4 linked regions of the Schizosaccharomyces pombe genome follow. The gene in region 4 interacts genetically with the main gene of each other region. Each region holds a gene or a part of one and is shown on either strand. Other genes may lie near its edges. The genes, in order: clr3, ura5, pht1 and set1.

Region 1 (8,632 bases), on a different chromosome or scaffold from region 4:
GGTTTGGCACGCATAATATGCCTCCAGTATCATGCAAGTCGTACGATAAAGAGCGATTTACTAACTATGAAATAGGCATCTGGTGCTGCAACGGTAAGGGCTGCAAAAAGGTTTTGGCTGGAGGTGCATGGACTGTCACCACTGCTGCTGCTACTAGTGCTCGCTCCACCATTCGTCGTCTCCGTGAGATGGTTGAGGTCTAAAAAATCATGACCAATCTATTGAGCATCTTTACATTTGTTAATAGAGGTGTAATTACGTTCACGTCCTATTTATTTTCTGTAATTAGTAGTAAATTTGTAAGGGTAGCAATTTTTTGTAGGATGGTGTATAAACTTTAGTTGCATGTTAGTAAAAAATTGTACGAATTTGAACAGCATGTATATTGGTGCTGCACTTCGTGGGAAGTGGAAGTACCTTGCTTTTCCATACGAATGCTAATAACAAAATAAGACTACTGAGTTGTCGGTTAGAATAATAGAGATAATTTTTTTTATTTTTTTTGCTTCAGCTAAATCCGTCATGCGCGTAGATAACAATAGTAAAGCTGTTAAGGTCATATCTGCCAGCTTCAGGATTGCAATTTATCAACATAATATATCATTTGTAAAAAAAGTCTTTTTTAATCCAAAATTCTTTAAAATTAACTACCAACATTTTCAAGGTACATTTTGTATACGTTTGAGGTATTTTATAGCAATGGAAAACACTTGACTGGTTAGATTTACGTTTACAAACACTGAATCTTGAAATCCTCAGCTAAAGGAATATTTTATGCAAATTCAACTACTTCGATATATTTGATAAAATGATACACTATGTAATATATATACTCTTATTTTCTTCAGGCGTTTAATAAGGGTTGTATGGTGTAATGGTTAGCACGTGAGATTCTGATTCTCGAGACCTGGGTTCGATTCCCAGTACGACCTGTTTTTTCGTTCCTAAACTACTACTCAGCTTTCTTTTTGGCTTTATTTATCATTTTTCTGCTTGCTTTTAAATGTAAGCATTGGATTGTGAGTAAATATAAAGTATTAAGGAACATTTAACTTTGAGCATTACTCCAGGTCGTATATTTCAGATACCTATGTTAATTAAGATGACGAGAATATGGATATACTGGATTCTAAATATTTAATTGAATCTACTTTAAACAAAGTAGGTTTCAAATTTATTTTATTTGTAATTTAAGTCACTCACCTTCAACATACACAAACTAGATGGTCCTACTACAAGCAATTCAACACATTGTTTTTATACTTATATTAATTATTTTTATTCCATAATTTATTTAAGTGTTGTTTCTATTTCAATCACTTTTTCACTATACTGTCTGTGAAAATAGTAATTTATAAAAAATAATAGTTACTTTTGCTTATTGCTATAAAGTCGTACAAGGAGAAAATAATTTAAATAAAGCAAGACACAAATTCAACTACAAAGTTCCATCTATGGCACATTTACGAGTTCTACATACAATATTACGTTTAATTCATTGAATACATTCATAAAATAATAGCATTATACACTTGCCTTTGAACCTGCTTGAATTGAATATACTCGCAATTAATTATTTTTATTATATTTAAAATATTAGAGGCATATTTTCAATTGAATTTTTAAAGGAATAAAAGACAGCTTGAAGTTTGAAACAGCACAAAAATATAGGCAGCATTTAATTCACTTCACAATTGGGTTGTTTAAATATAATTCCATGCATGTGAAATGTCAATAGTTGATATAGAGATCATATTATATAATAGTATAATAATAACAAAATTTACCTAGCATTCGAACGGTTGTATGGTGTAATGGTTAGCACGTGAGATTTTGATTCTCGAGACCTGGGTTCGATTCCCAGTACGACCTTTATAACCGTTCCTTTTTACATTTTTGCTAAAATTAGATTCAAATGATACTTTGGGTAATTACTTGTCTGTAATAACCAAAGTAAGATGGTATTGAGCAGCTTCAAATAAAATGCAGTTGTGCTACGACAAGAGAGTAATCTTCTAGGCAAGGGAGATTACAAGATTTCTACCAGTTGCTAACACCTTGACTTGTGAGTTATTGCGCAAATGTTTAGTGCTATATATAATATAGGATCAAGTCGTTTTATTAAAAAAAAAAAAAGCCAGCCTTCCTTAATAGTAAAGTTGCTACATTTACAATTACTGTTGACCGGTTATCATTCATGCAATTTGGATTAGTTAAAAAAGTTGAACATCACAGAATCATCCATCATTCATGAAGGTCGTACTGGGAATCGAACCCAGGTCTCGAGAATCAGAATCTCACGTGCTAACCATTACACCATACAACCAAATCAATTTTTTTGTGTGATATAGTTATTAATATTGGAGAATAAGAAAACAATTTAAATGCTGTTTGTACTATGAATCTAATTTTACAATTTAAACAACATACTATAATATTATCCTTTTGCGGTACAAAAAATGGATGAGGGATTTCCCTCAGCTTTAGAGAAATGCTTTTAAGCAAAATTACGACAAAAATCAACAATAGTTGTTTGAACTAAAATAATATCACGGATTTGAGGAGCTTTATTTTATAAAACAATATTATAACCTTATTTATTTAATTATATTGAACATGAATAAAATGAAGCCAGCAATAACAATAAACCATTTGTGTATACATTCTACTGGAAAATAAAGTCAAAATCCACCAACCTTGAGAATAATGAGCTCGAATTAAAGTATAAGTAAAAGAGACAAAGCAGCTTAGCAGATTGAGTACGAATCATTCAGCGGGTTTGGCAAATCATGAATGTCCGTTATAAATTTTAACGTAGATAACTTAAGGAGGTTAAATGTGTGACAATTAAAAGAATAGAAAACCATGAAAAAATCATAAGTCAATAACGAATGTTACTGAGAAGTTGGTCGGGCCTTTTGAAGCAAATGCAGCAAGTATTGAGTAACCGCTCGATAGTGTTGCTCCATCATGTCCGAAGTTTCAGTATGTTCACTTTGCATAAGTCGTCCATATCTTCTTTTAGCACGCTTTGCCTTTTTCCAGCACTCATTACTAGAACTCACAAACACGAGTGAATGACGATAATACCACGTTGGAAGATCTTCCTCTGATGCCGTTTTAAGACCCACCAAAGGTTCAGTGCCAAGGAAATTCACCATACACTTAACTCTGTCTGACACATTCCTGGAAGATGCCAAATTAACCAATCCATGTACCGCTTTGCCTCCACCGATGAAAAAAATATTTTTTGAAATCGACAACTCAACATAATTATCCCATACATAAAGACAAAGTTCTTTCACTTCAGAAAGAATGTCAACCGGTGCATTTTCACCGTCCGTAACCACTTCAGGTATATTTATGTCGATAAGCCCCCAGTCCTGTTGCATAGCCCATTCAACATAAAGGCTCACGGGATCTACTAAAAGCGAATCATTTAAATTCAAAACGTTCGTTTCACTAGTTCCATTACCCAGGACTCTAGGAGATTCATGGACAATAACGAGAAGGTTATCTTTTTGAAAGAAATTGCTAGAGCACAGTACTTGATTGTTGAATACATTGGAAACGGAATCCCTTAGTATTGGCATATTGGTAATTTTCCAGTCTTCGAAAAGTTTTTTAGCTTGATAAGTTCGAATAACATCATGTAATCGATCTACATGGGCATCCTTAGGATTTGCGTCGAAGTGTTTCGGCCTCATACATCTCCAGTATTGGGATTGTATTTTGGTTACATGGTTGATGGTAGCAACGGCCTGTGGACATGCATATGTTGTATGCAATCGTCCAGGAGGAATTCCCAACAAACTTTGGGCTACAGCTAAGGCTGATGTGCTTATAGAATCCAAATTATAACCTCCCTCAAGGGAGATAAAAACTTTCCCATCTGCTAATCCCATTAACATTTGTGTCATATGAGCATAGGCAGCTGGAGTTAACAAGAATTGACCAATGTGATCTCCTGCAGCAGCATCAAAGCCGCAACTTACAATAACTAAATCTGGATCAAATTCATAAGCAACAGGCATTACGACGCGCTGAAAAGCGTATATATAATCACCATCTCCCATGCCAGCACAACTCCAAGGAATATTTACAGTTCTACCCAATCCCGGGCCCTCTCCACAATTTTCTGCACACCCATAATTGGTGCCAGGATAGAAACGACCATTTTCATATCGATGCAAAGAAACGTATAGAACATTTGGATCGTCATAAAAAGCCATTTGCGTACCATTTCCATGGTGTATATCCCAGTCGACAATCAATACTCTTTTTATTTTATCCGGAAAGCGTTGTAGCATACTCCTTGCGGTTACAGAAACATTGTTGAATAAACAAAAGCCACCAGGTTTATGGGGTTCTGCATGATGGCCAGGAGGGCGAACAACTGCGAAGGCATTTTTTACTTGACCAGTTACGACAGCCGTACATGTTTCAATTGCGCTACCACAAGCCAATCGAGCACAAAACGCACTTTCGTTATTATAGTATAGAGAATCACTGATTTTTTCGAGATTGGCCAAATCCTCATGAGACATTTTTTCGGTATTAGTAACCCTATCATACATTTCCTGTGAATGAACTTGTAATAACTCTTCTAAAGTAGCTTCTCTAGCCGGAATCCGTAAAAATACATCTGACGGACTCGGCACATTAGATACATAACCGGCCTTCTTTATAGCTTCAAAAACACGAAGGACGCGTCTTGGATCTTCAGGATGGTCATCCACTTCACTTAGAGTGGCATGGAATCTCATTCGAGGATCATAGCATAATCCAGATTTTTTCAAGATTTGCGACATTTCATGGGATTCGTTATTTAATGTATTTTCACTTCCAGACATTGGTTTATTGTTTGTCAAAAGAATAGACCATGGAGTTACCGTGTTTACAGCATCATCGGATGGTTTTACAGAAGTAGATGCACCATCAGAATTAGAGGCCAGCATTCGTTTTCTATCGCCCTTAAAAAGGTCAATCAATTAATAAATTAATAAAAAAATCTCCTATTAAACAACTCCCTCATAAAACTGTCGAAACACTTTTTGAAGCGCGGCTCACTCGATATAGGTAGTTTTGGTCGTCAAAACTGTTGCTGGTACTTCTAAGACATAAGTATAGAGGAGCAATGAGAGAATATAATCTCAACCATGCTAACAAAGGAGTTTGTTTGGTAAAGAATAAAAATGTAAGTAATTAAGACGTTTAGTAAGGCTTTAAATAGAAGATTGATCCTGAACGTATGGAGATTGAGAAAAAATAGAGTTTGTAATGAGGCTCATGGGAGGGTCTTATTTTTATTTATTTATTTATTTTATTTTCTTAGAAACTTAAAAATAGCTTTGTCTCGAGCCATACTTCGAAATGAATGCATAATTTTGCGAGTTCGCGAATTTCCATTATCTTATATAATAATCATTTCAAATCATAAGGATCAAGATGTAGGAAGAACGTTAATAAATACATGGTAAATAATGTTTCTATGATCTTTAAGACTGTTGTACGCCCGGAAACATTCACCCTTTGTCATAAACATCATTAAGCATTATCACAATTTGGCTTGTACATATCAAGCATTTAAACATATAGAGGGTTAATAGCTCATCAACCATAGGACTGGAGACGGATAGCAAGAAATAACAAAACTTCTCAAACGAGATTTTTCCAAAAATTCTTCAGCAGGATGTGAACAATCAATCTATTCATCCAAATTATAGATTAACTCTCATGAAATAATTATGTAATTTTATATCTTAATGCTCGTATACCATCTAAAATGAAGGATGTTATGGTTTTTTCGAAGGCATAGAATTCACCAACGTAAGCATAACTTCAGCTGCCTTGCAATCATCTGCCGATAGGGGATAAGCCGTTGGAAAAGGAAGACTCGTGGACTTGCGAATTCTACTGAGGTTTGCAGTGCCAAGGCGAAGAGACTCATCGGTTTCTTCAGGGCGTGAAATATGGTAATTCATTCCGAACAGTGGAGATTTAGCTGAAGCAGTGGAGGCATGGCTAAGTTCAAATGGCAGTCTGGGTAGCTCAGTATGAGGCTCAACGTAGTTCAACCAAGGAGGACTAGTTCTATCAAAAGACGAGGACGTAGAAGAAACAGCACTAGAAGATGAGTAAGGAGATACAGGCTTCTTATAAGGAAGCTGAGCGAAGCCCTCTCTTGGGCTCACCAATCGCGTAAATGAACTTGCACGCAGCTTGCCTGTATTCGATCCCATAATTGAGTTGGGGTGATGCGGCCTTCTTAGCTTAGAAGAGTCCAAGTCATTGATCGAGCGTGATCTACGATGAACGTGATTTTCCTTACGAACAAGCGTTTCCACTTGATCTAATGTCTGATCTTCCCATCCATGATCGACCTTAAAAAACGCTGCCTTCAAACGAGCCCTAAGTTTGTTTGATAACTTGTATTCAAAAGTTAATGACAATTCGCAACGATTTTTATGCTAAACCAAAATTATTCATCGACGATTCTATTTGTATCGTCGAGATGTTACCTAATTGTGTTTGCGTAATTGACATACCTTGCTTAATGATTCATCGTATTTTTGTTGAATAACTTCATCAGTCTGCCTTGTAGCTTCATTTTTCTTGTGGCCGCCTGCCATGAATTAATATTTGTTGAGTTCGTCTGTATGCAGGTATATAAAAATGACGAGTTATTAGCCTATTCGAATTCTCCTTTCGATAAATTCCTTTTATAATATCCAATTGCAATCAAATAATCCTCCGTATAGCATATAATTGTTTCAATTGAAACAAGACGCGTTGAACGATGTGTTGGTAAGTCGAAAGTCGCGCCTGCCCGTACAAACGATTGAAAAAAGCAACAGGCAGAACACCAGAATTATCAAGTAACAAAACACTCTACCATACAAACAATAAAAACATAAGATTATCAGCCAAAGTTACATGAATATACTGATGTCGGTTATATGCAATTTACTTGGTACCTTTGTCTTTTTGTAAACACCGTTTTCGTCGATGAGAAGTTGCAAATAGACCAAAAAAATTGCATTCAGAAACATAGATATATTCTCCCAATTATTTGGTTACATGACCTTATAGTTGATACAAATCATTCACAAGAGAGACAAAGCTCAAATGCAAACTGTACACAGAAAATAATAAACACATTTTATTTATAAAATATTAAACCCATTAAATTCCCAAAATGTATATGTAGTTGTAAAAGTTCGTCTATGACGCACCAGTACAAACTCAATAAAACAGAAAGAATACGCATTTTTAAAAATCTAATTTTTTGATCTTTTCCCTGAACCAGAAGAATTACCATCCTGTCTCAATCTCTTCCCATGTTGAGCAAACCATTCAGCTTTTTCTTCCCGCTTCTTCTCAATATATGCTTGCTCCTCTTTTTGCATCCTTTTATGATACCGCTCATGTTCTGCTGCTTTCTTTGCTTTACGTTTCGCTTCCTTGTCCGTGTGCAAAGTCATTACTTTTTGAAGCAAATCCCTTACCTTCCGTTCTTCTGCATTCAACAAAACTGTACGTTTTTGCATGTACGTCGGTTTGCTTCTAGGACGTAAGGCTTTTTGACGAGAATTAAATGGAAGCTGAGCTTGAAGCGAGGCAGGCACTTTGAGAGGATTAAAATGTCGAGAGGGTCGAACAATCTCCTGGTACTGAGAATTGGGTCGTAAAGGAGTTTTCAATCCCAATTCATGCCGAACTTCTCCTGTTAACCGCATACCGTTCCATTCCGTTTTATCCGTCTCAAGTAAATTGGTGACCATTGTACAGAATTTTCGCACTTGTACCGGATACCATGCCCGCAAAAATACAATGTCACTCATTAAAATTTTGTCTTCAAATGTAGCACGGAAATGTCCATGTTCCTGATCAACTGCCTTTTTAACCTGACCTCGAATCCCTGAAACAGTCCTGATATTGGCACCTTCAAATTTTGCAACTTCTAAAGGACTACTAAACATTTTCTTAATAAATGCTGTGTTTTTAAATATTTTGTAGGGAACACCAGTCAATTTTAATTTTTTAACAATATCGGTCGATTGATCGATATTCAATACTGAGCCCGTAGCTGCAATTCGGAAGCTACCCGCCTTTGCGAACGAATTGGCTACAGATTGGACCGCACAAAAACCGCTGTTGGGAGCGACGAAGGGTCCATAAAAGGTACCGAAACAATGCATGTGTTCTGGAGTATATTTCAACATCCTATTTCGAGTACGCGAGTCACTAATTGAATATACAGGTATCGACTGAAATCTTCTCCAACCCATACTAAAAATCAGAGGATCATTCGTTTTAAGTATTTTTTTGTGCCAACGGTGACGCTTAATACGAACTTGAACTAATCCATACCGTTGCTCATTAGGTAGTAATCCACCAACAACTACGGGATAGCGAGAATCAAAGTGCTCAACAAATTCAAACGGAACGTCGTTTATTACGATACGTACATAAGTGCCTGCTCTATAGCCTTCGATTTCAGCTCGACTTTCAGGATCCATATCCTCAAAAGCTTCTCGATTTATAACAAGCTGACGTGCAATTTTTTCCTTTTCTTCCGTATACCAGTCAACGTCTTTCTTTTCTGGATCTCCACGATCTTCCTCTTCAA
Region 2 (7,593 bases), on a different chromosome or scaffold from region 4:
ATTGGAAAATGACTATTCTTATTTCAATTGCTCTAACTATTGGGAGGATCTCAGGAATCAAAATTCTGCTCGTTACGGTATATTCGTCTCGTTGGTCGGTTGGTTGGTTTAGGTGGTTTGTAACTCCGCAGGCGCTAGCGACTACCAATGGTAAGCAGCTATTCTTTACATATCGGTAAATGTGTATAACGATTATTGTCGATCTTTCCAGGATTGCAAATAGTGAGGACGGCTTGCAGTGCATTTTGTCACAAACGAATATATAATCTTATGTACACATATGATAATGTCACTAACTGAATGGCATAACTATTTTCTTATGAATTGGGTTAAAAAAAAGCTAACAGTCGAAATATAATACAACAGAGGTTGCATTGTAGCGTATGGCACTGGAACACGTTATACCAAATATCTTTTTTAAACAGTTTTCAATGTTGTATGCGATGTAGTTGAAGAGGGAGACTTTTACCTCGTACAATATTTTTTTATTTGATATTATTAATAATTTACTTAGAAGTAAGCATCATCAATTCTTATGTACCTTTTAAAGTGATGTGTTTCAACGCTTTTATTTTGTAAACTTGCTGCTTTTTTCTAATTCTAGGTCATTATTCTTCTTTCAATTTATAAAATATCTTTTGGGTACGCTTTTTTGTGCAATCCTCTCCTTTCTAACGTTTGTTTACATATTGAGTATTAGGTAACGATGTTACTTACATATTAGTTGAAGATTTATTGTTTATACAACAACTCTTATTCCCACCACCTTTTCAGCGCACCCAGAAGTACCGTCTTTTGATCAGCTGTTAGCAAACATCTGTTTTGTTTTTTGATAATTTATAATGCTTAATGATGAACAAGCGTAAAAGAGTGGAAGAGCTTGGAGAGACGAAACATCGTCAAGTACGACAGCGAATTCTCCAAGAACACAAGAACGATATACTTGAAAATTTAGCATTTGAACGTAAGTTTTTGTACCTGGAAGTAGTAAAGTGTTAACGGGTATTTTTCAGTTTCCGATAAAGTACGACGTTTGCGCTCAAACGCTAGTTTACTTGCTTCAACAATTCGTATGCGAGGAGAAATGCGTATCGCCGCTATTCCTCGCGCTCAACGAAATATGCATCTGCGCGATCTAAAGAACCATCTTTCCTGCAATGTGTCTGCCACACCGTGGAGAACGTAAGTGTAATATCAAATTTTACTTTGCCATACGTACTACTGGAAACACTAATTGCTAATTACTATTTCAGAAAAATAAAAGAATTTTATAATCTAGACGAGCTTTCCTCCCAAAAGTCCGCTAGACAACCTACAAAAACGGTGGCATCCTCCTCTTCTTCTTCATCAAAAAGCACCACCGTTTCCAAATCGAGTTCAAAGTCGCAAGTGTGAAACCCTCATCTACTGCTTACTGTGATAAAATTTCACTACTACAAAGTTGGTATTCATAAACACTTCGTAGGATTCATTATCATTATTTTTAAAGTACATCATCCACACGATACCGAAATATTCTCATGTGAAGTCCATTTATTTCCCACTTTACTTTTGATGAGTAACTCATTCTTCTTGGGAAACTTGAACAATTTTGCGCATTCTGTCCATCACCTCTCGAAATATAGGACGTATTTCGTTAATTTCCATTGCACCCAAATTATCCAAAGTTAGTTGAACTTCATTAATGGCTTCCAATCCCGTTCTTGCTTTACTTTGTCTAGCTTCTCGAATGTCCAGCAAAATCCTCCTGATATCCTCAACATCCTCGATATCATCAGCACAGAAGTTTAACAATAAATGCGCCGTTTCTAGCCACCGAAAAGGCAACTCTGAGAATGTCTCGTTTTCCAATTCATCATCTCGTATGTTTTCAAGTTTGCCTATTTCCATCCATTCCGGAGGTACAATCCTTGCCAAATTTTGCTTTTTTAGCTCAAGAGCCAACCATAAAGGAACCCGACATTTTTTGGGAGGCTTCATAATGGGAATCGTCGCGCTAACTAGCGGCAATTGATCCATTGTTTCTGAAGGAACAATGTTAATATACTCATTGCCAGCTAAAAATTCCATTTCCTCTGGTGAGAATGAAATTTCAAGTTCCCTTGGTAAGGCCATCTCTATCACCAACGAACAGTACAAAAATGCCTATCAATAGTACCGTTTTTGGGCTTAATGTCTTTTTTTATTTAAAGTTTTGTTTTTCTATTTTGGAGTTCGTTTATAGCATTTATTGGTTGTTATTCCTTACAGCATAATTTTTTGTGTGGTGGGTTTCGGACTCATAATAGTCACCCTCATCTAAATCACATCTTGCTCTTAGGTCATCGGTATATGATTGTCAAATTTTTATATTTCTCGTTTTAAGGTAATAATTTTGAATGCAAAAACCTTCATTGTCACAAGACCTTATTTGGATATTGAAATCAGTCCAATCTCGTAGGTCTACGAAAGGGTTTTTGCAAAAACATTCTTCGCTTAAGGATGGCTCTCCCAACAAGAAATCCTTCGCTCAGCCAATATCGAGTTCGTTTTTAAACAGAATTTCTATTACCAAAATTGATGATGTGGATTCTTTAAGTGATAATACCCTATATGGAATTGGTCGAAGTATAAATAGCCTGGCACGTTTAGGGATTCAATCAGTGATTGTTCCCACTTCCAATCCAATTGGCATGACATCTCCTTTTAAATATTTGGAGAATGGTACGGTCGTAGCGAAAAAACGTAAACTTTCAATCTTTGAGGAGCTACAGCAACAGCAAAATAGAGTCATTCGAGTTTCGGAAATTTTTTCGAAAGCGGGAGTGTTAACCCGTCCTAGCTACTCCTCTGTATGTCAATTGGGCCCTGAAGGCCCTAGTGTTGAGAATGTGCAAGGTATTTTTCAAGCGCTGTCTTCACTTTACACGGTCATAGTGCCAAGCTCGATTTTAATGCCCAACGTCATTGAGGTTCCAATTGATGGTAATGAGGTTCTTGCTGGTTTAACTTACTCGTTACACAAGCCAAACTTTGGGTTTTGGGTAGACCGAATCGTCATTCTTGATAAAAATGGTGGCATGCCATGTTCTAAACGACAAACTGGTTCTAGTCATGTTCTCATCAATCTGGCTCAAGAGTTTGACGAGTTAGCGAAAACACTTCCACCTTATCATAGAAAAAATTTGATTTTGGTAAGACGCTGTTTGAAAATGTTACCGGATGATGCCTCTGCTCTAATCACTACGCCTGAGGATGCTATGCTTACAAATCCTGTCTTAGACAAAAATCCGTTAATTCACAATGTTTTGACGGATCGCTCTATTATTTCATGTTCCTTGCCGCGCGATCGATCTCCTATTACGAAAACAACTGTTTTGCGTAGCGGTGTACCGGTATATACATTCCTAGGTCCGAAATGTCTAACTGATGGCTCCGTTTCGTGGGAAAGGCTTTGGGTTTTAATTAATGACTCCTTTAAGCGAACGCTTGATATGGACGCATATTTAGATAGGTTGAAGAATTCGCTAGCTGCAGTCATTATTGCAGGGGACTATTTAGGGACAGCCATTGTAACTTATGAACAACCAGATGGAACAACGAATGAAAAGGTCCCTTATCTTGATAAGCTTGCCGTCTCACAAGGAGCCCAGGGTTCAGCAGCAATATCTGATGTTATGTTTAATGTTATGACTGATTTATTTCCCAAAGAGTTGATATGGCGCTCTCGCCTGACTAATCCAGTCAATAAATGGTACTTTGAAAGAAGTGTAGGCTCCTTAAAGTCAAGCAAAACACCTTGGAAACTTTTCTGGACTGGAGACTCACATGTCAGAAATTTGGATCGAGTGAACCAGTATATGAGCGTTATTGATAAAATTCAGCCAACATGGTTGAATTGAGTGGAAGTTAACGATTGCACTTTATCAGAGACAAGATTATTTCGCTTCTTCAAAAGCACTTGTCAAACTTTTTAATAAAAGGAAAAAAGTCCATTTTGATAGGACATTAATTCTCTTTTGCACATTAGATTATAGATTGAGTAGTTTGCCTACAAACTTGCATTTTTCTTTAGTTATGATTTTTGTTTATTCCCCCACATAACCCCCATGTAGAGCTTAGAAAAGGTGATACTAGCTTTTTTCTTTTGTGAGTATCAACGTTTATCAACAAAACTAGTAGTAAACATGTCTTATAAACTTGAGTTGTTGCGTCGTGCCTTAGAACATAATGTTTTGAAGTTTGGAACTTTCACCTTAAAATCAGGCAGAAAATCTCCATACTTCTTCAATTCTGGTAATTTCACTCATGGTGCCGATTTATGCGCTCTTGCAGAAGCCTATGCCGAGACTATTATCGCTATGAACGTTGATTTTGATGTCATATTTGGTCCTGCTTATAAGGGTATCTCTTTGGCTGCTATAACGGCCGTCAAACTTTATGAAAAAACTGGAAAGAGCTATGGATTTGCCTATAACCGCAAAGAGGCCAAGTCCCATGGTGAAGGAGGTAACCTTGTAGGCGCCGAAATGGAAGGTAAAAAGGTTTTACTTTTGGATGATGTTATTACCGCTGGAACTGCCATTCGTGAAGCAATTTCCTTCTTAGAACCTAAGCACGTAAAATTGGCTGGTATCGTCCTTTTGCTTGACCGCCAAGAGCGACTGGACCCCGAAGTAAACGAAAGTACCATTGGTAGATTGAAGAAGGAGCTTAACTTACCCGTTTCCTCCATCCTTACTTTGGACGACATTGTTGACTTTACCAAATCAGACTTAACTGCAGCTGAATCAAAGGCAATGGATGCTTACAGACAGCAGTACCAAGCCAAATGAGCTTATGGTAATGTTTCTTTTAAAAATTTGGAAGGAGGAAAGAGAATAATTGGATAAGTATCTTTTTTGGTTTTTAGCTTTGCTTTTTTAAAGAGAGTGAAGTTAGTTGGTATTTACATATGTTATAGAATTTTTTTATCTGTATATTTGTGGTGATAGATACAACTCATATTAGAAGGAATTTTCTATAAAGCGATTGCATTTAGCGGTATTCAAAAATTTCTCTATAATAGACGAAGGAAATTGGTTTACTTGTTAAGCTTTTGTTTTGCACATATCCATCTATCTTTTGATTAGTTCCGTGAATCTGTTTTTTTTGTGTTTGTTTCTTCTTTTGTGTTATTCGAATCTTTCCAAGATGACAGTTAGGAATGAAGCTACCAAAATATTGAGTTGAGGGATAATTAATGTTTCACAAAATGGTATTTGTGTATTATTTTTGTAAAAATTTGTAGGATTTGGTTTTTAGTGATGATTATTTACGTTCGAAAGACGCATATAATGGGCAATTATAAAAAATTTAGGATTTTATTTTTCAATTCTGCGACGGGTATTTATGCTCTGTGTTTGAAATACCAAATATTAAATAATGGTAAAACCTTTAAACAGAAGCCTGGTGATTAACTTTTTATTATGACAAGAAAATGTTAAGAAATTTTGGAATGTTTTTATTCTCATATTCAATGTGAATTTGAATAAGTAGTCACTGCAGTCTATAAATAAAAATGGTTTATTAGAAAAACTCGAGTTGAACAATGAAATTCTTTATCATTTATGTAATACAATTGGTTTAACATAGTGGAATCGAATGGTACAATAATTGAGTTACTAATATGTAACCTTCAAGTATTTATCGTTTACCACTAACTCACCATAAGAGAGGGTGAAAGATTTAGTTCTGTTTGTGTGAGATCTTAAAAAAGCAAGCAAATTTCCTTTTTATCAAAAAAAGGATCCGCATTTCCTGAAGCACTTTACTGTGATTTTAGGGATTTTTTTGGTGAGTAAGAAGCAGTGTTTTTCGATTTTTCTGAGATCTCGCTGTTGAAAAAATCCGGACTAAATCGGCTCCGTAGTCGATAAACCCAAATCTACAGCTTTTTGATTTAAATTATACAAATCGTGATCTGGAAAGTTTCGAAAGGTTTCTGTCCTTACATATTAAAGTTCTTGGTAGTTGAGTATCTTACATCAGCTGGTAAGATACGTGGATTTTTAGGGATAGCAGAGGTCTTTAAAAACATCTGTTTTTAACTCAAAACATAGAGTTAAATACTTTTTAATTGAAAAAATCTTTGAGGCAAACGCCGCTGAGAGAATATATCCTTTCTTTAGTGCATGCAGTTAGTATCATATGTATTTCCGACTTTATCTGCTATAAATACTCGGTTTTCAAAAACTATCGATATTTTGTAGAGGAAATTTCAATTTGCTTCTTCTTTCTCATTTGCTTCGTTTTTTTTTTTATATGATATTAATAGCTGGCGCTGTGGAGTTGAGACATTAAATTATTACAAACATTTAGAGAGACGAAACGTTGTTATTGCATCAAGTTTTGAAGCTCTTCCTTCCTTCCTTTTTTTTAAATTGCTTGCCAATAGTGCCGTTATGTATAACGACCAAATACATAAAATCACCTATTCAGGAGTGGAAGTATTTGAGTATACGATCAATGGCTTTCCTTTAATGAAACGTTGTCATGATAACTGGCTTAATGCCACGCAAATCCTTAAAATTGCAGAGCTCGATAAACCCAGGAGGACAAGGATTCTGGAGAAATTCGCTCAAAAGGGACTTCATGAAAAAATTCAAGGTGGTTGTGGAAAATATCAAGGTTTGTGTTAACTTCTTACTATATCAATAGGTTTAAAACTACTTAAATAACATAAAATTTTTGTCTCTGTTGTTTTTATTTATCAATTTATACTTTTTTGGATGCCTGTTACTAACTATTCATTCAGGAACTTGGGTACCCTCTGAAAGAGCTGTTGAACTTGCTCATGAATATAATGTTTTTGATTTAATACAACCTCTGATTGAATACTCTGGCTCTGCGTTCATGCCAATGTCTACGTTCACTCCTCAGAGCAATCGTAAGCCTACAGAAGCATATCGACGAAACAGTCCAGTAAAAAAGTCATTTTCCCGGCCTTCGCATTCTTTACTCTACCCTTACACATCTTCCAATAATATGACATCTACTTCTAGAATGTCAGGAATCCATGATGCTTTGTCTCTTCAATCTGATTTCACGCGCTCTCCCGATATGCCTTCTGATTCCTTTACGGGATCTTTGCACGATATCAAAGCTTCTCCGTTTTCTTCAAACAATTATGCGCAGTCTCTCTTGGATTACTTTTTATTACCAAATACTACACAACCTCCTGATTTCGTATATGATCGGCCATCAGATTGGGATGTTAATGCTGGCATTGATGAGGATGGTCATACAGCACTTCATTGGGCTGCTGCAATGGGAAATTTGGAAATGATGCATGCACTATTGCAAGCAGGCGCCAACGTAGTTGCTGTCAATTACCTTCAACAAACATCTTTGATGCGCTGTGTAATGTTTACCATGAACTATGATTTACAGACTTTTGAGGTAGTTTCGGAGTTGCTTCAATCTGCTATCTGCATGAACGACTCTTTTGGCCAAACCGTCTTTCACCACATCGCATTATTAGCTTCTTCTAAATCAAAGATGGAAGCCGCTCGTTATTATATGGATATCTTATTGCAAAATTTAACTGCAACACAATCCGTTGATGTCGCTGCC
Region 3 (3,282 bases), on a different chromosome or scaffold from region 4:
GGCAATTTACAGGGCATATAAAAAACACTGACATATTGAGCTTGCCATTAAATGTGAATTTAGTAACGTTTTTAGTTCTGTTCCCTTTACTGTGTCTTTATTGTAAATATCACTTTAAATGCTTTCTTTGACTGTCAAGGGAATTATCGCCGTTCTTTTTACAAAAGCAGGCTCTGAGTGTTTAAATCTATTTTTCTTTCATTCCTGATAAAACTGAAGCCTTTTAATCTCCCTTTTTCTTACTTACTCTTATCCTTTGTTTTCCAGTTTTTTAATCCTCATTTATACTATATTCTATTTACATATTTTTTATACTTAAGTATTAAAAAAGGTGTATATTCTTTAGACTTTAGTTTTTAGTGTTCGTGTTTGCTCTGAACATATAAACTGCACTTACTTAGATGTATTTAGTATCAAAGAGGTGAATTAATTTTACGAGCAAACGGTAAAAGAACGTAAATGTGCTTATTGTTCAACAGACATACGTGTTTATTAAATTTTACAAGATGAAAGTGATATGAATATTTGTATTTCACACTATATTGAACGCTAAGCGAGCATCATTTACAGCTTAAGTCTATACCTAGAGCGTTTGGAAAAATTCAAAATTAATAAATCGTATAAACAAGAAGTAAAACTAAACAGCGCAGGAGAAACCACTAGATGCATGGATACATACTAACGATTGAACCTGGCAAAGTGTAATTGGACAGAATGAAACGAGACATATTGGAAATATAACGTCTAAAGATGAAACGCAGGACAAATTTGTTTGGAGGCTTGAGAGGAATGAAAAGGGAGCAAATACATGGAGGGAAGAGCATTTCCATTAAACTGCGCATGCACATTTTACTTTCCATGCTTTAATCATAGAAAAAGGTAACCAATTAAATAAAATAAATCCTTAGATTGTAAAAAGAAACGAAAACACAAAAATGATTAAATAATTTCTTCCTCCTCGGGATATTTTTCCTTTGTACGAATCAAGAGCTGTTTATTGATATGAGGCAATACACCACCGCCCGCAATTGTAGCACGAATTAAAGTGTCCAACTCCTCATCACCTCGAATAGCAAGTTGAAGATGTCTAGGTGTGATACGTTTGACCTTCAAATCTTTTGCCGCGTTTCCCGCAAGTTCCAAGACTTCAGCGGTCAAATATTCAAGGACTGCAGCACTATATACAGCACTTTTTGCACCGACGCGCATATTATTTTGAGTTTTTGCCTTTAAAAAGCGTCGAACACGTCCAACAGGAAATTGTAAACCAGCGCGAGCTGAATGCGACATTTGACCGCGTTCGCCGATTTTAGAACCTCCCTTACCTCCAACATGTTTACCTTTACCGCCTCCAGACATCATTTTGAATCGATTATTGCAATTGCAAAAAGCGAATGTTTTGTGTGTTAGGGAGAAGGCAGATTCGTGAACGCGAGGTGCGTGTCTTAATATCATAAAGCCGCGTACAGAGGGGCTGTACCTTTAAACATCAAGTTTTCGAATTTCTAACAACAGAGGATAAATTTATAGAATATTGACAAAGGATGAAACGTTTTTTTAATGTATAAAAAAATCAGCTAAATTCTTGAAACGTCTCATATTTGCATACTCTCATATTGTGGGTTTAATATTCATAGATGTAAGTTTATAAATACCCTTATATAATTTATTTAATCAAAAACTTATTTGATCCTTAGGTTTTCGCCTTTTCTTGAACATCCATAGGTGTATGGAGGCCAAACACCTTTGTACTAGTTTACTCAAACTTTTGGGTGCACTGCGGTATGTCGTACATTGTTAAGCATTATAAGAAATGGTTACAGTATTCGTTAATTGCTCTTACGTAGATACGGTACATGTCGTCAGTTTATTTACATCAAGAAAACCAGAGAATGCCTAACTTATTGACATGTTAACATTTGTAGTCAAATAACTGAAGGGTCGGTGCCTAATAATCTGTATAGCAAATGATTCAAATAGTTTTTTACTTTAGAGCTATATTAGTTTGTTCATGCTTTTTGCCTGATTGCAGGTTGTAGTTCTACTAAACTATATTCAACCATTTATCTTGAACAAAATCCTATGTCAACAAAAGACTTTTAAATAAATAAACTGCACTATTATTTAATTGTTATTGTCGAAAGCGATCAGTAACAGCAGATTAAGAAACTACTTTTTGACCAGCCAACTTGTCGAGTATTAAAACTAGCATTAGTATATATAATTTAATAAATACATTCCGACGATACTGCCTCTATGGCTTAGTGGTACAGCATCGCACTTGTAATGCGAAGATCCTTGGTTCGATTCCGAGTGGAGGCATATACATTATATTATATTCTTTTTCATGCGGAAAAAAGATTTCAAATTTTTGGGTATGATATTAATATGACTGTAACGTTAATAGCAAAGTGAGTGTTAATAATGATAAAATAGCAGCAAAATCTCTTTTCCGAGTAAGACGTTTTCCAGTCTAAATTTGGAGTCTGCAGTTGTTTCGCAATTCTTAATGTATGGTTATACTAAATACAAACTTTAAAGCTCTGATTTATGTTTGCAATAAACTAAAATAAAAGCACAAAAACCTTTACCCATTAATTTCAAACAACTTATAAACTACCGGTAAACTTTTTTTCTAACCTTTATAATTTATAAACTAGAATGTTTAATGTCTACGGCCATACCTAGGCGAAAACACCAGTTCCCGTCCGATCACTGCAGTTAAGCGTCTGAGGGCCTCGTTAGTACTATGGTTGGAGACAACATGGGAATCCGGGGTGCTGTAGGCTATTTTTTTATATCCGTCTTTCTTACTACTTGCCTAACAAGTCATGATGTACTCTCAAAATATGTTTGCATGCCTTGTAATATTGGTTATGGATAGCTCCTTCTGGACTTGATCTTTTGTAGCCAAGAACAATGGGTATAGACTCTGACCTTGTGATGTTGTAGCCACAGATTATAATAGGTATTTTCAAGTACAGTAACAAAAATCTTCTAGTTTTTTTTTAGAAAGGATACACCAAGTATAAGCAAATTCAGGAATTGTTGATTAAACTGTCAACTTCGGTAAAACTTTGGGCATAAGTAGTGTGGGAGCAAGTTTAACTAAAATTCTATTCAGATGTCGAATCCAAACCGCTAATTTTGCTCAACTAGCTTTTCATAAAAACCAATTCATAGTTTCATACTAATAAAGACGATTGTTTACTTTAAAACATACGTCGTAAGAACATATATTGCTTTATCGAAAGATAACAAATGTTAAGCTATTATATTATT
Region 4 (9,922 bases):
ACCCTACATTTCTGTACTCAAATCGATATGTTCTAACTTTGAAAGGGTTTCACAATATATGAATAACCGTATATTGGTACAATTTAATCCTATTATAGGTAAAAAACCTCACATAGAGACAATAAATAATTATTATTTTTTGTTATATTGTCGAGAATAGAAGCATGTAATGAATGCAATATCTCGTTATTTCCAAAGAGTCAACTGCTAAGTGAGTTCCAACAGAATTAACAGGCAGAAGCAAGATACTGATGTCTTCAACGATCACAAGATAAAAGGAAGGTGTATTTTTTACAAAAAATTTCGCTGTCAGCTTGCTCCACAAAATGCAATTTGCACTCTTCATTTTTCACAACTCTTCAATGTCAAAAAGTAGTAACAGCCTAAAAATACGAGCTAGTGTTTTTATTATTCAAGGTAGATCAAAAAGAGTATAATTTCCGGCTATCTTGAAAATGATTCACGCTAGCTAAAAGTATGCGATGATGACTAATTAATGATGACCTGCATCATTTCGATTCTACACACTTTAAACATCATTTTCTAATGCTTCTAGCGTCGTCAAGTTAGGACCTGGCCTAATAAAAACATCTGAAAAATCTTCGTTGCTTGTAAGCTCTAAATTATGTTCATTCGCCAAATGTAAAACACAAATAAAGGCAAAACTGGTGGATATATCTTTGAGTTCTTTTTTCTCGTATGTCTCCTCTAATTGATTGACAGTGGAAAAAAAAGATTTGACTGGCATGTTGGTTTCTTCTGACTCCATCTCCGAACCCTCAATATGAGAGTTGATGGAATTTTCTTTAATTGTGTTTTCAAGATCTAGACATTTCCATAGCTTTTCTTTCAGTACTCGCACATCAACCTTTTTAGCACGCTTCGCATAATTCAGCATATCTGGTTTTGCCAAACGAGCAGTTAACAAAAGGTTATCACCAAATCCTGATGATGATGGAGGTGTAAGCAGAGGTGTTTGCTTAGGGCTATCGGAATCTCCAAATCCATACGGGGGTATTCCTTCATCAACATTATCACTGCCATCAGAATCGAATCCATGGGGTTGAATACCGTCCAAATCATTCTCATCATCTAAGGCTTTATTCAGTTGTAGCTGTCCTTCTCCATCAGCGTTGGGTAGAACTGACATCTTTGGTTTCAAGAAAAGCTGTAAAAGCCTCTTAGAATCATATTGGTAGTCATCAGGTAGTAAACATCGATTATGTCTTTTCCAATGAGACTTGGGAAGCTTGAGACTGCTGGTTGCAGGAGTGAACAGTGCTTCGACGTCTACTTCCTGCAAGAAATCAATGGCGTTATCAAGTTCTCGACGCTTTTTCCGTTCCGTGGAAGAAAGAGAACGCGATACATTATCTGAACTTTCAGCCGTATTGGAAGAGTTGAATACAGTTGATGCGTTATTGATATTTTTTCTCAATGCCTGAATGCGCCAATGTTCGGGTCCAGCCCAGTTCTTTTTCATTGACTTGTCAAAATATTCGTATACTCCATTCGCAGCGGCAGTAGAAATAATAGAATAATTTTCATTCATAGTACTTCCATCAGCCATATTGACTTCAGTATCCACACCAAAATCTGGATTTTCGGATTCGTCCATTGCTTTTGGTACTACATCAACATATGGGTTCTCCTCATCGTAAGCCATTTCCTCCAAAGCATGCACAATATGTCCTTCTTCACCATCGGAATCGGAAGAAAGGGAAGCTGCATCAGCATCAGTTTTCTCCATCGTATTATCCACTAAGGAGGTTGTCGTTATCATGTTAACTTCATCACTTAATGATTTTAAGAGAGAGACATCAAGATTCCCTTTACTATCAAATTCAAAGCCCTGTAAGGAGGGACATATTGTCAACTGATCAATATCGGTAAAATAGCATTTGTAAATACCATTCAAGGTCTCCCTAGAAATATTGTCATGCACATTAGTCATTTCTGTGTCATGGCTTTCGATAGGCGCTGCGACTACCGCTTCCTGCGATTCAGCTTCAACATCTTTATTTTCCAAATCCTTGATGACAGTATCGCTAGAATCGAATACAATTCGTCCATGTTGATCAACACAAAGATGATTCATTAATAAGCCTTTAGCACCATCCTCATCAAAATCTGCACACATTTTCTTGAATAAAGGATCAAAAGAACATTCTAACTCAAATTTTTTAGCGCGTATTGACTCGAAATCTTTAACGAGAGTCTTTACCGAACGTTGTGCACGCTTTCTCTCTTTCTTTTTCTGTAGATCCTCATCATCATTTTCAGCATCTTCGCCTTCTTCCGTTTGCTGCAATACTTTGGAATCGTTTGCCAATCCACTGAGTAGCTTGCCGGTCTCAGTAGCAACAGAATCAATACGCGAAGTATAAATTTTCACGCATCCGTCTAATGTACAGCTTGCCTTTTGGAAATTTATATCTTCACCATCACGTAGAAGCGACATGTCGTGAAAATAGTCAATAAGCGCAAAATTCCAGGTATTTGTGGAATTAATTTTGTTGTCAGTAGCTAATTTAATCCATTCCTCAAAATTAGAAAGAACAGGAACCTGATGAGAGCTATTAAATGGTGAAGAATTGTTTAGAGATTCTCTTCTTGGCGTTATTGAGTGCAGAGCTGAACTTCTTCGCAACTCGCGCTGCTTACGGCTGTTCTCTTTAGCTCTTTTTTTTTCTAATGCATCGTCATTTAAGGAGGGTAAGCTAACGGGCGCATGCCCGCCTAAACTAGCTCTTTTCATTGATTTAAGTAAATGTTTATGTTCACAAGTGGTAAGTCGGTGTGCCTATACGTATATCGCGCTTTAACGATATGCCGTATATTTCTTTCTAATCAACAAATGATAAAGATTCAAATAAGTTTCTAAATAAATGCCAATATGATAACATTATTTTTCTTTTGAAATTTGTTTTCAAATAATATAGTATTTCCCAATTTACTTCATTGATGGCTTCCCGATTACAAAGTCAAAAGTCTTTTGTTTATTATTCTGTTACAAATTTTGTGAAGTTTCAATTATTATAAATCTTCCATATAAAATTAACAAGGTAATACCAAATCAAGTTTGGATCCTAAAATTCAGTAGCTATCAAGTTTTAAGAGAATTTTATTTTTCGTTTTCGTTTATTTAAACTTGAACTTCGTAGTATTGTGGAGCAAATGGATATATCTAAGACAGTATATCTCTTAACATTTTACTTCTAAATCACTCCTGAATGCAATCCACTGAATGGTATGCGCATTTATCCTGACTCTCAAAATATTCAACCAATATCAAATGCAGACGATGTAAGACAGAAAATTGATTCTATTCTATATTAAAAAATAAAAAGCATTAGTGTACCATCAGATATAATGCGTGCTTTTTAAACGAACTATTATAATTGTACAGCTGCCCATATATTCATGTACCATCAATTCTCCAAGAGCATCATTGTCTAGTTTAAATAGCCACGACATGTTGGAGCACCACACAAACAAGGAATCTTATCAGCTTCTTCCGGAAACTTGTAATCATAAGTAAGTTCCTCTCCATGCATAATATCCCTGTCAGCATAAATTACGATTTTTCTTTTCCCTTCAACTCTAATAATCCTAGCTATACAATTAGGAGCGCATGAATGATTGATGAAACGCGCGATATTTCCCTTTTTTGTAGCATCAACGATAACATCCTCGTCAATACGGAACAAATAACTGTCTCCAATACCTTCACGAACGTAGTTCTTTTCACGATTATCAGCCACCCGTTGTCGAATGATTTCTCCAATATACTCTATGACCATATCATTTTTATCAATGTTTTCCATGGCAAAAAGCCCTAATGTATGAATGCGACTAGGGCCAAAATGTAATTGCTTTTTACGAGCCTTTAGTGCATTGAATCTGAGCAAGTCAGCTTCGGCTGGCAATTGAGACTTTTCAACTCCAGCAGCCAATCTTCTATTGTTAACACGATTCATTCGTGATGTGATACGGCTTGTAGAATGACTAATAGTATCGATGGTTGATCGATTACGAAGTGGTAGATATAGTGATTTTTCGGTAGTTGGAATAATATAGTATCCCTCACTTTTAGCAGAACCGCTAGTATTAGAGCGAAAATAACCTTTAGGTTCTGGAAGAATAGCCGTATCTCCATACTTAACATCCCCATTCTTAAATTTACATGACTTGCGTTCATAAGCCCAGAAATTGGGATCGTTGATATCCATGAGGGGTTCATCCTTGAGTGCCTCTTGAAGATATGAGTAATCTTCGTCATTTTTTACCAAGTACTGTAGACCATCCAAGTCAAGAAGTACATCGTCTTCTGGATAATTGTAAGGAAGTGCACCATAATAAACGCTTCCAGTTTCATCAAACTCATTAATACGCCATTTGGGAGCTAAAGCTAAAACTTCATCAATCTCTTTCTTAGGCGATATGAGTTCATCTTTTATGGCGCTACCTGATTTTGGAATCGCAGCACTAGGAGAAAGTATTGATGCATCTGATTCGGTTTCGCTGGACGAAGTATAGTCAACTTCCATCTTTTCATATTTTTTCTTTGATATTTTAGATTTTGTACGAAAACGATGGAATTTGTCATTTTCATCAGATGTATCAGAAAAAACTGGAGTCGCCTCGTCAGACTTCACAGACTTTATTGAGCCAATCTTCCCTCTTTCTACACGCTCGTCTCCAGAAGATAACAAAAGTTCTTGATCAGACTCGGCTTCAGAAGCGCTTGAGTTATACATTTGATTAAGCTGGTAGTGTAAAGGTCGAGCTTCGTGCCTTCTTCTACGTCTTCTTTGAAGTTTCGACTTCGTTTTACTACCCGCTGAAAGATTCATTTTACTGGAATCAACTCGTTTTTTAAATTTGGGAAGACTGGGGAGCTTTCCGACTGTTGATTCAATTTTTAAAGGAACATCAGGAACACTTGTAGATGAAACCAATAAATTTTCTTGTAGTTCTTCCTTAACAGAAGGCTTAGGCATTGAATGAAGATATTTGAAGATTGCCGGTCCAATTATTTTACTTTTTACATCACGTAACAAAGCAGCCTCAAGATCTCTAAGCACAACTGAGGTTGCTTCAGCGTACGCTTCCTCGGGAGGTAAAACAACTCTTCGTACTGCGCTCTTTTTTCCATCTTCCTTTGTACGTGAAGGAATGTCATGAAATTTCAATTTTATGCGACAATTTTGTACGTATGTACGATCCAGCGCACGGTAACAATTGCTCGCTTCGCGATAATTATTAAAAGTTATATAAAACCCGTCTTTGTTCATGTATATCTTTTCATACAAAAATTTTCGAAAATGATGCTTTATATCAGTATAATACACACGATCTGGAGGGACAAAGCGATCGTCAATTAGTAAATAAATATAATCATTAATATTTTTTGGAACATCAGTCTCGCTTGACGTAAGAAAACCTGATTTCTGGTCCACGTTCTGAACTTTAGAATGTTGCAAGTCTCCATTGCTCAATGTTTGTGAATTTTTCGATGGTTGACGCCAAGGAGGAATATCTTCATTCATAGCTGCAGATAACTTTTGCCGCGAAGATTCATCTTCCCGCTCGAATCTCTGTTTCTGTAAAGTTTCTTCTTGAAATTGCTTTTCAACAGCATTTAAAGCTTTCTTGAACGCTTCTTCGCATAATGAACCATCCCGATCAAGGACTACTGAAAGAGGCTTACCGGAAAACCTCAAGCCATTTGCTTGTTGTACAGCAATTTTCGCTGAATGTGCTGCTACAGAAATGGAACTACGCTTGTCAAAAGATATACAGCACAACCCTAAAGAAGTACCTGTATAAGGGTTTAACTTTAAGTCTAAATCGAAAACTTCCCCAAATGATTTAAAATGATATCGGAGCTGTTCAGAAGTCACGAGCGGTGAGATGTTAGAAACAAAAACCTGAGTTGGAGGTTCTGGACCTAATGAATTCTCATTGTAGTCATAATTTATAGTTTGCAAAGATTTTAAAAATGGCCTTCCACTTTTAGGAATACCGCGGGCATATATTGGATTTTTAAGTCTAGGGTCGCGAACTACTAAAGGTGGTTTTGAAACACCATTAAACCGATATATAATTTTGCGACCAAGGTTCTCCTTGATTCCTAATTCTGGATCGTATAAAACTTTGTAATTATTCCTTTGAACGGGTTGAGATTTCGACCGCGTAGAGGTATTAAAATCCATGGCTGATTAATATTGAATCCAAGTAGCAAATCCCAGGCATTCGATCAAAACAAAAAAGAGCTATAAAGTAAAAAAAAAAAAAAATCAAGAGATATTAAAAACCTGTGCACTAAATCAAAATCAAAAATTTGGTAACAACTCGATAAGTGTAATTTATTCCAATAATGAGCCTTGACAAATTATGAAAAAAAAAACGTTATGTAAAAAGAAATAATATCGCCGGGATGAAGAGCTTTCTATTGTAAAGTATTTGAACCGTAATTCAGCTTATAATTGGAAAAGTATGTCGCGCGACGTTACTTTGTAAATTATAACAATATTCAAAAACTCAAGTAAAACTTGATCAGTCTTCAAATAAATACGTTCATAAGGCTAATAACAAGTAAAAAAGCTCTGTCAAACATCCGTTTGGCCAAACACAAAGTTTATAGGATCTCTGTGGATGTTTGTGTAAGGTAGGCCAATTCATATTACGCGCCACAGTAGCTCTTATAGCGAAATTTAGTAAAATCGTTATCCAAAGATACCGTTGCATATTACACTACCAATGTTGCTGAAGAGAAGCAAGAATAAATGGCTTGAGAAAGGAAAACTTGTAGATGAATGTTTTAGAACAAAGACATAATTATAAACTACATGAGGAATATTAGGAATCATAATAGAAAATACTAACATGAAAAGATTGTTGGTACATGATAGAAAACCGATTCGCACACAACGATGAATGAGACGAGAAGGTACAAAAGGATAATCGAATACAGAAAAACCAAATAAGTGCCCAGATGCGAAGTAGGAAAACATTTAGCAAAACAAGTTTAACCCGGTTGTTTTGGATAATGAAGTCTAAGGCTAAAAAGAGAACGTAAAGCACAAACAACCAACTCCTAGAGAATAAATTAAAATAGTAGACGACCAGCGTTACCAACAATCGTAGAAGCGGAGAAAAGTATCATAGGAATCCATAAACGAAACTGAATTTCAGGGAATTCAACTCCATTTAACTCACTAAATTTGTTAGCTGATAAACGAATGTTTGAAAATACTGGAGCAGCCTTTGGTAGGCAGTTGATGGATAACAACTAACATACATTTTTGAGGTATCAACCAAATTATAATATAAGATACTCCCCAACACAGAAGTAATTGTCGACAAAATAATACCGTTTCTTGAGCGATCAAATATATACCAAATGCTAGCAGAACTCGCAACGAGTGCAACAATGGAGTGTGAATTCGAAATAAATAGTAATTTCTAGAGATAAGTTAGCAAGAGTATATTCACGATGCATAGTAAGCATTGGCAAAGAGGGTTTACTATCAAACTTAAATTCTCAGAAAACAGCACAACTTATTTATGGTGATGAATAAACTATATCAAGAAGTCGTTACGCATAGATAATTGCTGTAACTCCATACATCTTGCATATATATTTCACTTTTTTATTTAAAGGAACGCCTCGTATAATGTAAAACTTACCTTCATAGAAAGTAGCAATGTAGCGAAAGCAGCAAGATACCGAGAAATCCATTGCCATTTAGACGATTGTGAAGGGCGTAAAGGGGCAGCTCCCAAAGGATACTTCGTATCCATACGTCGATAAGAGAGTCCAAGTATGACAGCAACGAAGCCAAAAATTGCAGGCCATGGGGGCTCAAATTTCCAACTTTTGAGATTGACCGTCAGAAGTGGTAGCTTTGCATCTTGCACAATTTGTTCAGCCAAATAAGTAAACACAAACCCTAATCCAAATATAACACAAAGCTTACAAAAAAAAGTTATTAAAGATGAATAGTCTATAAATGTTATCCCTTTCTTTCTCTGTTTCTTTAAATCATCATCGATCTGTCTAGACGCGTAATCTTCATAACTACTCAGGGATTCATCATCTTCTGCCTGCTCTTCATCTAATTTAAGTGGAGCAAAAAGCCCTGATAGTGTCGATTTCATATTGTCCAAAGAAAGTACCGACAAGGACTTCTTGACCGCTCGATTTCCATTATAACCATCTGGGTAGCGCGGACGGGGTTCGTAAATCTCTTTTCTGCTCATTTTATTCAAGCTTACGGCACCTTTCTGTAGAGATCCTTGTGAAACTGACTAAATGGATGGAGAAGAATCAATCTTTACGTTTAGGTACTTGGCAGAATCGAGACATTGCACAAAACACGCATAGCCCAGTGACAAGTAACAATTTTGAGTAACAAAGATCTCAAGTAAGAGAGATCTGAAATGAATAAATATTTACAATCACTTTTATATGTGAATTTGACCTTTCTAAATTATAGAAATATACTCAAAACTTTTCTGCATCCATATTACTCTTATTGTTAAGGTATATTGTGCTTTGATCACTTGAAGATGCATGCCATAAGTAATGACAATGTTAACTAATAACGAAAATATCCAAGGAAAAAACTCTCGCAAACACTCATTCTACGAAACAATCAGCCACGAAGAAATTGCTTTAAATAATTAAGGAAATTTCATAATTGAGTCTGTATGCCTAAAGTGGTTTCTCTAGTTTATTCAAAGTATAGCAAATTCATCTACTATTTTTAAAACCGCAAAACAAAAATATTAATTGAATAGAATACAAAAAGCAAAACAAAGTTATGCTGACTACATGATGCCAACAACTTTCACCTTCCGTAGAGAATCATCATAAAGAAAAAACAATATTATGGTTATAAAGTTTGTCTCATCACAAGAAATAAATTCTTCAGTCCAAAAAACTATTTAATAGACTTCAATATATTAAAAAACAAAGATCATTCTAACCATTTGGACACCTAAGGAATTGCGCTGAAAGGTAAAAATGTCACCAAACTATACTTATCAAGAACCATTTATGACAATAATTTTCTTCTAAATTAAGTGTGAGATGTATCAATTATGAAAGAAAGAAATAAATTGAAACTTCTTCAGCTTATTCACCTTAAGAAGAGGTTTATAACTGTTTGCGTCGAGGACTATCAAAAGCGTGATAGCTGATTTGAATAGAGGAAAGTAAACGGCAAGAAATAAACAAAGTTGGAACCAATACAGCCAATGCCAAATAACCCATGTACAAACCAGGAGTAAAAAATTGATATTCGGTAAACAGTCCCGTCGCACCATTGTCGGTGACAGGGTGCTTCCTTGTTTGGTGCATAGCAAGCGTGGTTTGTGATCCCTCATTTTGATCAGGTAAAGAAGCCAATTGGCCGTGTTGAAGAGCACTCTTCCCTGAGTTGAGACCACCTAGCGTTTGAATTACAAATTCAGCATTGGCCTCTTCTTCGTTAGCATCAACCTTAAATCCTTCAAAATCTGAGTTATTCAAAGGAGAAGAGGCTATAATTACATTCCACTGAGCATCTTGTTCCAAGGTAGATTGTAAGTTGTAGAACATTTCATCCAATTCCATTAATTGTGCACTTCTATGATAACTTTCATTTGACAGTTCATTCATGTAAACAACAGTTATGCGATCATTTTGAAGAGGAGGAAAAGCATTAAAGGATCCACCCAAGTAAACTACCTCAACGTCGCAGTTTTGCTTTGCCGAATGCACCAACTCTTGTGAGTCCAAAGACTCCTTGGAATAAGGAAGAAGTAAGCTATAGGGTGATTGCAAAGAAACACGCTTTAAATGTTTAAAAGCTCCCAACTGAAAATCATTAACCTCAAGGCCTGGTTGATGTATAATTAAGGTAGCTGTATT

Evidence for each region.
Region 1: mutations in set1 (region 4) and clr3 together harm fitness more than expected from each alone (negative genetic interaction), as found in Schizosaccharomyces pombe (3 studies listed by BioGRID, with this or other methods).
Region 2: mutations in set1 (region 4) and ura5 together harm fitness less than expected from each alone (positive genetic interaction), as found in Schizosaccharomyces pombe (2 studies listed by BioGRID).
Region 3: mutations in set1 (region 4) and pht1 together harm fitness more than expected from each alone (negative genetic interaction), as found in Schizosaccharomyces pombe (2 studies listed by BioGRID).

What each region holds. Positions count from the first base shown.
Region 1 is NC_003423.3:251,148-259,779, reverse strand, and holds clr3 (class 2 histone deacetylase Clr3), read right to left. Parts: upstream 5,095-8,632; 5' UTR 4,959-5,094; coding exon 2,895-4,958; 3' UTR 2,642-2,894; downstream 1-2,641. Other genes in the region: rpl4301 (60S ribosomal protein eL43), read left to right, coding at 76-203; cell cycle transcriptional repressor Whi5, read right to left, coding at 5,796-6,470, 6,549-6,632; GTP-binding protein Bms1, read right to left, coding at 7,281-8,632. UniProt on the Schizosaccharomyces pombe protein: Responsible for the deacetylation of lysine residues on the N-terminal part of the core histones (H2A, H2B, H3 and H4).
Region 2 is NC_003423.3:1,226,913-1,234,505, forward strand, and holds ura5 (orotate phosphoribosyltransferase Ura5), read left to right. Parts: upstream 1-4,130; 5' UTR 4,131-4,166; coding exon 4,167-4,814; 3' UTR 4,815-5,446; downstream 5,447-7,593. Other genes in the region: CCAAT-binding factor complex subunit Php2, read right to left, coding at 1-2; nbl1 (borealin N terminal domain-containing protein), read left to right, coding at 850-964, 1,014-1,182, 1,254-1,395; GINS complex subunit Psf2, read right to left, coding at 1,564-2,115; acetylglutamate synthase Arg6, read left to right, coding at 2,379-3,881; MBF transcription factor complex subunit Res1, read left to right, coding at 6,423-6,648, 6,776-7,593. UniProt on the Schizosaccharomyces pombe protein: Catalyzes the transfer of a ribosyl phosphate group from 5-phosphoribose 1-diphosphate to orotate, leading to the formation of orotidine monophosphate (OMP).
Region 3 is NC_003423.3:1,501,703-1,504,984, forward strand, and holds pht1 (histone H2A.Z-like protein Pht1), read right to left. Parts: upstream 1,743-3,282; 5' UTR 1,360-1,742; coding exon 940-1,359; 3' UTR 501-939; downstream 1-500. UniProt on the Schizosaccharomyces pombe protein: Variant histone H2A which can replace H2A in some nucleosomes. Nucleosomes wrap and compact DNA into chromatin, limiting DNA accessibility to the cellular machineries which require DNA as a template.
Region 4 is NC_003421.2:409,310-419,231, forward strand, and holds set1 (histone H3-K4 methyltransferase Set1), read right to left. Parts: upstream 6,639-9,922; 5' UTR 6,219-6,638; coding exon 3,456-6,218; 3' UTR 2,984-3,455; downstream 1-2,983. Other genes in the region: condensin complex non-SMC subunit Cnd2, read right to left, coding at 530-2,758; ins1 (INSIG domain protein), read right to left, coding at 7,115-7,223, 7,307-7,470, 7,696-8,268; family protein BIG1, read right to left, coding at 9,167-9,922. UniProt on the Schizosaccharomyces pombe protein: Catalytic component of the COMPASS (Set1C) complex that specifically mono-, di- and trimethylates histone H3 to form H3K4me1/2/3. Binds RNA which might negatively affect its histone methyltransferase activity.